3 linked regions of the Saccharomyces cerevisiae S288C genome follow. The gene in region 1 interacts genetically with each later gene. Each region holds a gene or a part of one and is shown in the gene's direction. Other genes may lie near its edges.

Region 1 (3,501 bases):
TTGGTTGTGAATCTCCACCATCAACCACTGTGGGAATCACCATGTTTTCTGATCCTGGGTAATCCGTCCTACATAGAGCAATGGAGTCAGACTTTTTGTTAATGGCCTTAGCAGATGTTTCATCCGTAGAACATAAATCGCTGGTATCAGTGTTGGTACGGTACAAGTAACCATTTTTACAGTAAAGACCACCAACAGATTTACCATCGCTTGGTTGGTCAGAAGGCCATTGAGTCTTTGACATTCCAGGTTCACATGCATAAGAACAGTAGTAGCCATCCTTACATTCGGACGAAGTGTTGGCATCCATGTCCATGACAGAGGCCCATCCACCAAATCCTAGCCAGTCCAAGGAAACTATACCGTTTACAGAAGGGAAGTCCGAACATTTGACAGTACCATCTTGGAATCCGCCATCACGCTTCTGTTCAGAGGTATCCTTCTCAGATGAGGACAATGTAGTGGTAGTAGCAGCAGATTCTACAGTACTAGTAGCGGCATTGGAATCTATGTATTGAGTGACAGTGACAACCGCTGGTTTTTCATCTTTGTGATGATCTTCATGGTGACTGTCCGCTGGAGCAGGTGCAGGGGCAGAAAATGCGACAGAAGAAAGGGAAGACAATATTAAAGCTGCGGAAATTTTCATTATGTGTTAGAGAGAGACGAGTTAAGTATGTGCGACTATACTAGTATTATAATATTAAAGGAAAGTAAGGTACCGTCTATGAGGAGACTGTTAGTTGGATATCAGTAATGAGACGAAAAAGCTCGAAATGAATGGATATATTCTTTTTGCTACTGGCAACTGTTGAATATTTAATGTTAAAACAAACTAACTGAGGTATATTCGTATCTGTATGTACACATATACTATATACAGGAAAAGATAAGCAAGAGAGAGGATATCAACTACGAGAGCGATCGATTATATATCAAAAGCTGTCCGCTTTGCCACCCATAATCGGCGCTTAGTTTCGGAGTTCAATCATAATTCTACCACCTTACACTCAACTTACTCTTTAACTCCTATAGTATAATATCGCCACTGACCCCATATTAAAAAAATTTTTTTGCTCGATCTTCTATCCTCTTTAGGTTAATTGTCGCTGTTATTGTCTAGATTTTTTCTCGGAGATGGCGCATCTATTTGCCGTCAAAAGATCCTCTCATACCATATTAAGTAAATTGCCTCCATTTCTTTTTCCTCGGGCAGAGAAACTCGCAGGCAACTTGCTCTCGAAGTGGTCACGTGCGGGTCTAGGCCTGCATAATCGGCCCTCACAGAGGGATCCCGTTACCCATCTATGCTGAAGATTTATCATACTATTCCTCCGCTCGTTTCTTTTTTCAGTGAGGTGTGTCGTGAAAGAAAACCCACAATTAAACTTTCAACAACCGGGCGACTAGGAAGAGAGTAGTGGGCGCGGATGACGAAGGCTAAGGTCACTTCTTCGTTTCCTTTATTGGGGTTTCCGTGTAGCCTTCCCCTGAATAGTGTGGGACGTTTTATGAGAAGCCGTAAGAAATAGGCAAATTGAGTTATGACAAGTAGACATGATGCCGCAGCCTTGCCTGACTTTACGTCTCCTTCATGAATAAGTTTTTCTATCGAGTTCTTTTCCTTTTTTCGCCTTAATTAGCTCAATTAAGCCTGTCCTCACTACTTTTCTTTTTCTTATCGGCTTTGTGCCACACCTAACCTTCGAATGCTGTTTTATTCCGTTCTTACATGGGATGGTAATGCCTTGGCGAGAATTTCGATTTTCAGGATATTGTCTTGGTGGCGTCTTTTGCTGTTACTATGTGTTTAAGAGAGAGCTGTTCTACAAAGAACTTTTCATTTACGCGTTTTTTCCTTTTTTTTTTTTTCTCATCCTAAACGCGTAAATCTGTTCCCTTTTTCATGTAATGGGCGTACAACCGACGATGGAAAAATGAATCTTGCAATTTTAATACTAACACTTGGAATAACTCCAAACAGGTAAGAGGCTCACAGAATCTCGAAAGTGTAACAGCGTACTCTCCCTACCATCCAATTGAAACATAAGATATAGAAAAGATGTCAATTGTTTCACTGTTAGGCATCAAAGTCTTAAACAACCCGGCAAAGTTCACTGATCCATATGAGTTTGAAATCACTTTTGAATGCTTAGAATCTTTAAAACATGACTTAGAGTGGAAACTAACCTATGTTGGGTCCTCTCGTTCTCTAGACCATGACCAGGAATTGGATTCCATTCTGGTAGGCCCCGTTCCCGTAGGTGTTAATAAATTTGTGTTTTCTGCTGACCCTCCCTCCGCCGAGCTGATTCCTGCGAGTGAATTGGTTAGTGTGACTGTTATTCTATTAAGTTGTTCTTATGACGGGAGAGAGTTTGTTAGGGTCGGTTACTACGTGAATAATGAGTACGATGAAGAAGAGTTAAGAGAAAATCCGCCAGCAAAGGTACAAGTAGATCATATTGTAAGAAATATACTGGCTGAAAAGCCAAGGGTAACAAGGTTTAACATTGTTTGGGATAATGAAAATGAAGGGGATTTATACCCACCTGAACAGCCCGGCGTAGATGATGAAGAGGAGGAGGACGATGAAGAAGAAGATGACGATGAAGATGATGAAGACGACGAAGATGACGATCAAGAAGATGGAGAGGGAGAGGCGGAAGAAGCGGCAGAGGAGGAAGAAGAGGAGGAAGAGAAGACTGAAGACAACGAAACGAATCTTGAAGAAGAGGAGGAAGACATAGAAAATAGTGACGGCGATGAGGAAGAAGGAGAAGAAGAGGTGGGGTCTGTAGACAAGAATGAAGATGGTAATGATAAGAAGAGGAGGAAAATAGAAGGGGGGTCCACGGATATTGAATCCACTCCAAAGGATGCGGCACGTTCAACGAATTAAGAATTTATGGGTTATAAGATTAATGGTACCTGCAAGAGAGGTACACTTTATAAAATGTATAAATAAAAAAATAACAGACATAAGATAAAGTCGGGTTAGGGCAACAGCTACGTAAAAAATAAAAGGCAGTAATATTTTCCATTTAAGTTGATTTTCTTATTATTGTCGTTGAGAACAAAAAGAAATTGGACGAGTCCGGAATCGAACCGGAGACCTCTCCCATGCTAAGGGAGCGCGCTACCGACTACGCCACACGCCCTAATATTATTGATATTGTTGTTTATCAAAGTGAGATACGTCAGTATGACAATACGTCATCCTAAAAGTTCATAAAACACATATGAAACAACTTCATAACAGAACGAACATGTTGGAATAAAAATCCACTATCGTCTATCAACTAATAGTTATATTATCATGTTGGAACGAGAGTAATTAATAGTGACATGAGTTGCTATGGTAACAATCTAATGCTTACATCGTATATTAATGTACAACTCGTATACGTTTAAGTGTGATTGCGCCTATTGCAGAAGGAATGTTAAACGAGAAGCTCAGACAATACTGAAGCTGTGTTAAAGACCTATTAGTTGAACATG
Region 2 (3,519 bases), on another chromosome or scaffold:
AGGATTTCCATAGCTACAGTACCTTGACCGGCAATGACATAAGGATGATCGAAAGGAGGAATGTTCGTCAAGCCACGCTCTTCAGCCAATTTGGCACATTCAGCCTTAGCCTCGTCAAAATCGTTACCATATAGGACGACTTGAGACCCTAATCTCGAGACATTTTGATACTTAATAGATGGTGTACAAACAGGCATAACGATAGTAGCAGGTATTTTCAAGTGTTTAGCAGCAAAGGCCACACCTTGGGCATGATTCCCAGCTGAACAGGCAATAACACCCTGGTTTCTTTGAGAATCGTCCAACTTGGCAATCATGTTATAGGCACCACGAAGCTTGAAAGAGAAAACAGGCAATAGATCTTCTCTTTTCAAGATGACATTCGTGTTTAGACGGGAAGACAAACCTACACCTTGAGAGATTGGAGATTCATTAATAACATCGTATACAGAGGACCTTAAAACTAAACGGACGTAATCAGGGGTGTTATCAGTTTGCAGCTCATCCAATTTCAATTCAGAGTGTAGTTTTATCAAGGAAGGTGACAGGTGTTGTCTGTGCAAATGAGCCTTTAGTCTCAAAAGGTTCAATCCAGACACTTTGGACTGTTTACCTTGCCGAACAACCGTACATAATGGTTGCTTTAGTAGAGTAGCTGACATCACTAACTTTGTGTAATTGACTTAGTTTAAATGTGGCTTGTAGCACTCACACAAGAAAGAACTCAAAGCAGCAACAACAAAAGTTTTCAAAGCTGATAATGAAGTATCTGCAGACATATGTTTGAGATGACTCTTTTTCTTTGATATTTTTTTTTTCTTTTTATGCGATTCCAAATTTGCTACCCGCTGCGCTTTTTCTTTTTGCCCTTCTTATTTTTTCTTTTTCGCGTCAATTAAAATTGAACGTCACAAAATAGCAGAGATAATATGCAATAAAGAGAGAAGAGTTAAAGAGTCTTGGTAGTCAGGAAAAGGTTTTCATATTCATCAGACATAATGAATTTCAAGGAGCCGCTAGTGAATTTTTTAAAATGCGTCTTGAATAACATAAACTCGGCATTTTCGCATAGGATTGATCAATTGCAATTGCAGCTGTTGCGGGAAACAAATATCTTGAGGGTTTTGAACAGGGGAATAGAGAGACTGTTTAGCGAGAATCCAAGGACCCATTCTGTTTCCCGTATCGTGGTGGAAAAAGATGTGGGCTGCAGAATTGGACGATATGTGGAAGGTTCTAAATATGAACTGGTAGAGTCCAGGGCGAAAGAAATACAAATATATTATGAAAGGATGGTTTTTGAAATAACACAAGAATTGAAAGGGGACAAGCGGGTGTTTGCCTTGATTGCAAATCTTTCCCAAAGATATAGCGCAGAGAGGAAAGAAATACGAAATGTAAAGGTGCATGGTGGGCGGCCATGTAATGAGAACGAATTCCAGGTGATTCCGATAAGATTCAAACCTATTAATTTGGAAAGAAGAGCACGACTGATAAGAAAGAAGAAGACTATTAATTAAAAAACTTACATACAAATACATGCCTTACTTTCGATGCCAGCATCTGGAAAGGGAAAGGCAGGGGCAGAGGGACATATTACTTATCTATTTATGCATAATTTGTGTTATATATTGGTATGATAACTTGATGTTAGAGAATGTGCTATTCTGTTTCTTGAAAATCTGAGTTAAGGTTGATACCGCTTTGATACAGCGGGTGTGACAGGTTTATCTGTGACGGTGACAGGGGCAGTAGAACTACTGGAAGCCGCAAAGTCAGAGGATACTGTGAGTGGTGGTGCCCACAACGTGGATGGTCTCAGTTTGACCCTAGGACTTGCAGAAGATCCTGTGGGAAAATCCGGGGAAGGCGGATGGCTACTTGGGTTGAGCATTACTCTCTTTGTGAAAAGGGAGGGAGGGAGAAGTTTGGGGATGAGATGGTTGCTCTTATAACATAAGGTAAATAAAAATTTGGGGTGACCCCGCCGTGCGCGTTTGCTGGGACAAAAGAACAAGAATAGGAACATGAAAAGATTTGAATGATATGGATATGTACAAATGAGCTCTTCCATGTTTGTAGCATCAGCAACGTAGCTCTAGGAAATATGTCTGAATTAACAGAGGCGGAAAAGCGCAGGTTACTAAGGGAAAGGAGACAGAAGAAGTTTAGCAATGGAGGTGCCAGCTCCAGGCTTAATAAAATCACCGGGCAGGCAAGCAGTCATTTGAACGCAGAATCACCTTTAGACGCTCCTAGCGCTGCAAAGACCACACCACCTGCGAGTGTGCATTCGGCTACTCCAGATATCAAAGAAGATAGCAACGTAGCGCCCCAATTGGACCTATTGAAACAGCTCGCTGCCATGCAAGGCCAAGGTACGGGTAAAAGTACCCCTCAGGACTCCTCTACGCCCGATCTACTCTCACTACTAAGTTCTATGAACACTGGCATGCCCAGTGCAGAGGGTACACCATCGTTTGGTCAAGCGGCTCCTGCAGCCCCGATCAATCAAGCTGCTTTGGACTACCATGATTACTTGCTGAACAGACTGAAAGCCTGGACCATTCTTGTGAAGTGGGTCTTTTTCCTACTACCCTATCTATACCTAATCACAAGACCAAATTCCTCTGTGTGGCCGGCCTATGCATTTACTCAATCAGCTTGGTTTGCACCTTTGCGGAACCCATCGAATTTCACTAGAATTTTTGCCACGTTTGAGTTCCTTTCCATATCCATCTACTACCAGCTATTGAAGAATGTGGAACACAAGAGCAAGATTAAAAATTTACAAGATACCAATAAACTTGTCAAGTTAGTTTCACTGGTGCCCGAGGGAGTAATTCCCGTCGCCAACCTGAAGGGGAAGCTAATTACCCTTTTGCAATACTGGGATCTATTGTCCATGCTAATCACTGACATTTCGTTTGTGCTAATTGTCTTAGGCTTATTGACGTACTTATAAATTCTAGATAGTTCAGTAATATAATACATTGTTCTCATAACCCGACATTATTCCCGGCTTTCTTTTCAGGTAATTGAAAAAAAAAGAAAAACGGTAAGAAAATTTTCTAAGCGATGAGTTCGTGAAAAATCGATGTATAGAACTGAATTGGAGTTCAATAGTAAAAAAAAATCCATATATAGCATTAAAAACTCAGTATCCTAGCTTTAAGAAACTGAACCAGATTCCAACGACACAATGGGTCACAAGAAGAACGGTCACAGACGCCAGATAAAAGAAAGAGAAAACCAGAATAAATTTGAACGTTCCACATATACTAATAATGCTAAAAATAATCATACTCAAACAAAGGATAAAAAACTAAGAGCAGGCTTGAAAAAAATAGACGAGCAATATAAAAAGGCGGTATCTTCTGCTGCGGCAACAGATTACCTTTTACCCGAGTCCAATGGTTATTTGGAACCTGAGAATGAGCTAGAAAAGACTTTCAAAGTGCAACAATCGGAAATCAAATCGAGTGTGGATGTCAGTACTGCAAACAAAGCTTTGGATTT
Region 3 (2,903 bases), on another chromosome or scaffold:
TCACCTGTTAGTTTCGCTCCGACGCAAGGACGATCTCCTGCTGCAATACGTGGCGAAGAACGGGGTATACCATACGTAACCGAATCTGGAAATGACATCGTGCCCACAGATGAGCTTTATAGGAAATGCATTATCAACGGGGATGAAGTAGTATTCATTCCTGTTAGCGAACTAAATCCACAATCGAGCTATTTGTCCGTGATCAAAGGCGATTACGGTGAAATTAAAATCCCCATATCTAGTAATGACTACAGAATTAATGGCGATAATATTTTGCTATCACCATCTGCGATAGAGCAGTTAGAATCTGCTTTGAACTTCAAAATCGAGAGACCACGGGATTCGACACTCTTGCATCCGTCTGGTGAGCATGTTCGAGCTGCAGATAATACCTCTTCGGCAAATGATAATAATACAGTTGAGAATGACGAGTCAGCGTGGAATAGAAGGGTAGTGCGTCCCTTGAGAAACAGCTTCCCGCTGCTATTGGTATTGATAAGAACATTTTACTTAATTGGCTATAATTCATTGGTTCCCTTTTTTATTATTTTGGAGTTTGGAAGCTTCCTTCCCTGGAAATATATCATTTTACTAAGCTTGCTTTTCATTTTTAGGACTGTTTGGAATACCCAAGAGGTGTGGAATTTATGGCGAGACTATCTCCACTTGAATGAAATTGACGAAGTCAAGTTTAGCCAGATCAAGGAGTTCATCAATTCCAATTCATTGACCTTAAATTTCTACAAGAAATGTAAGGACACTCAATCCGCTATTGATTTACTGATGATACCTAATCTACATGAGCAAAGGCTATCGGTCTATTCTAAGTATGATATTGAGTACGACACCAACACCCCTGACGTTGGACAATTGAATTTGCTATTTATCAAGGTGCTATCGGGTGAGATTCCTAAGGACGCGCTAGATGAGTTGTTCAAAGAGTTTTTCGAATTGTATGAAACGACAAGAAACATGAACACACTATATCCTCAAGACTCTTTGAACGAATTGCTGCTGATGATTTGGAAGGAGTCCCAAAAGAAAGACATCAATACGCTACCCAAGTACAGAAGATGGTTCCAAACCTTGTGCTCGCAAATAGCGGAGCATAACGTCCTTGATGTCGTACTCAGATACATAATTCCAGACCCGGTAAACGATAGGGTGATAACCGCTGTGATAAAGAACTTCGTGCTCTTTTGGGTTACACTACTCCCCTATGTGAAGGAGAAGCTGGATGATATTGTTGCACAGAGAGCAAGGGACCGTGAGCAACCGGCTCCATCTGCCCAACAGCAGGAAAACGAAGATGAGGCCCTCATAATCCCTGACGAGGAAGAACCCACCGCCACAGGTGCGCAACCTCATCTCTACATTCCTGATGAAGACTAATTGCAATGCGATGTGGCCACGTTATATAATGCGTTTAAGGTGTACGAAAACCCATGCTGTTCTGGCCCGTCGGGTTTTCTGACAAATTGTCCTTTAGGGATTTTTCGGTTTGGCTCGGGTTGGCAAAGTCGGCTGGCAACAAACCAGGACATATATAAAGGGAGGTAATTCGTCAGATCAATGCCGAACCGTTCTCAACGGGCCTTCCCCTCGTTCAATTGCTCACAACCAACCACAACTACATACACATACATACACAATGGTCGCTCAAGTTCAAAAGCAAGCTCCAACTTTTAAGAAAACTGCCGTCGTCGACGGTGTCTTTGACGAAGTCTCCTTGGACAAATACAAGGGTAAGTACGTTGTCCTAGCCTTTATTCCATTGGCCTTCACTTTCGTCTGTCCAACCGAAATCATTGCTTTCTCAGAAGCTGCTAAGAAATTCGAAGAACAAGGCGCTCAAGTTCTTTTCGCCTCCACTGACTCCGAATACTCCCTTTTGGCATGGACCAATATCCCAAGAAAGGAAGGTGGTTTGGGCCCAATCAACATTCCATTGTTGGCTGACACCAACCACTCTTTGTCCAGAGACTATGGTGTCTTGATCGAAGAAGAAGGTGTCGCCTTGAGAGGTTTGTTCATCATCGACCCAAAGGGTGTCATTAGACACATCACCATTAACGATTTGCCAGTCGGTAGAAACGTTGACGAAGCCTTGAGATTGGTTGAAGCCTTCCAATGGACCGACAAGAACGGTACTGTCTTGCCATGTAACTGGACTCCAGGTGCTGCTACCATCAAGCCAACCGTTGAAGACTCCAAGGAATACTTCGAAGCTGCCAACAAATAAGACGCTTGCAGAGTTGTCTAAATGACTACTTATTTAAAATTCACTCTTTACGTTTATACCTATCTATCTATATATAAAACCCATAAACTTAATGCTATTCACTGACAAAACGATACACTACCGTCTAAGAAGCTATTCACACTAGCTCAGTTCTAATAACAATCATCGTCTGGCTCTAAAACGCGTAAACCATTCACTGCCACACTCACTTTAGCTCTGTTGCTGCCCTTCATACGCTGAGACGCGACGCTTCTTTTCTTTCATATGATTTCCCTTCTAGGCGACACGCCATGCCCCAAACGGGGAACACCGCGAATTCCTTCTGGTGCCCGGTTTCCTCTTTGGGAAGGGCGTCAAAATGGTACAGCTCGCTATAGTCGCCAATTACTGCAGATGCTTAAAGGCTTCTGCAACTGTATGTCCAACCTAGTACGTGGAAACTTCAAACGCGAACAATCTGTATGCTGTTTCGGGCTACTTATTGCTCTATACGGTTTTTAGTGGACACGAACTCTTGTAATTATTATATATATATATGCCTTGGCATTTTAACAAGACTCTATGTTGTGATTTCAGTATGATTTGGGTGAAAACACAGTGGTGACCACAGAACAACGAGGTAACAGTTCCAGACCACTACCTTTCCCCTTCAATCTTTGTG

What was found.
Region 2: mutations in ASF1 (region 1) and GET2 together harm fitness more than expected from each alone (negative genetic interaction), as found in Saccharomyces cerevisiae (5 studies listed by BioGRID, with this or other methods).
Region 3: mutations in ASF1 (region 1) and TSA1 together harm fitness more than expected from each alone (negative genetic interaction), as found in Saccharomyces cerevisiae (5 studies listed by BioGRID, with this or other methods).

What each region holds. Positions count from the first base shown.
Region 1 is NC_001142.9:194,225-197,725, forward strand, and holds ASF1 (nucleosome assembly factor ASF1), read left to right. Parts: upstream 1-2,062; coding exon 2,063-2,902; downstream 2,903-3,501. Other genes in the region: SUN family protein NCA3, read right to left, coding at 1-649. UniProt on the Saccharomyces cerevisiae protein: Histone chaperone that facilitates histone deposition and histone exchange and removal during nucleosome assembly and disassembly. Facilitates histone deposition through both replication-dependent and replication-independent chromatin assembly pathways.
Region 2 is NC_001137.3:325,620-329,138, reverse strand, and holds GET2 (GET complex subunit GET2), read left to right. Parts: upstream 1-2,107; coding exon 2,108-2,965; downstream 2,966-3,519. Other genes in the region: threonine ammonia-lyase ILV1, read right to left, coding at 1-662; YER085C (uncharacterized protein), read left to right, coding at 999-1,520; YER084W (uncharacterized protein), read right to left, coding at 1,688-2,074; UTP7 (Utp7p), read left to right, coding at 3,203-3,519. UniProt on the Saccharomyces cerevisiae protein: Required for the post-translational delivery of tail-anchored (TA) proteins to the endoplasmic reticulum.
Region 3 is NC_001145.3:218,487-221,389, forward strand, and holds TSA1 (thioredoxin peroxidase TSA1), read left to right. Parts: upstream 1-1,651; coding exon 1,652-2,242; downstream 2,243-2,903. Other genes in the region: USA1 (Usa1p), read left to right, coding at 1-1,392. UniProt on the Saccharomyces cerevisiae protein: Thiol-specific peroxidase that catalyzes the reduction of hydrogen peroxide and organic hydroperoxides to water and alcohols, respectively.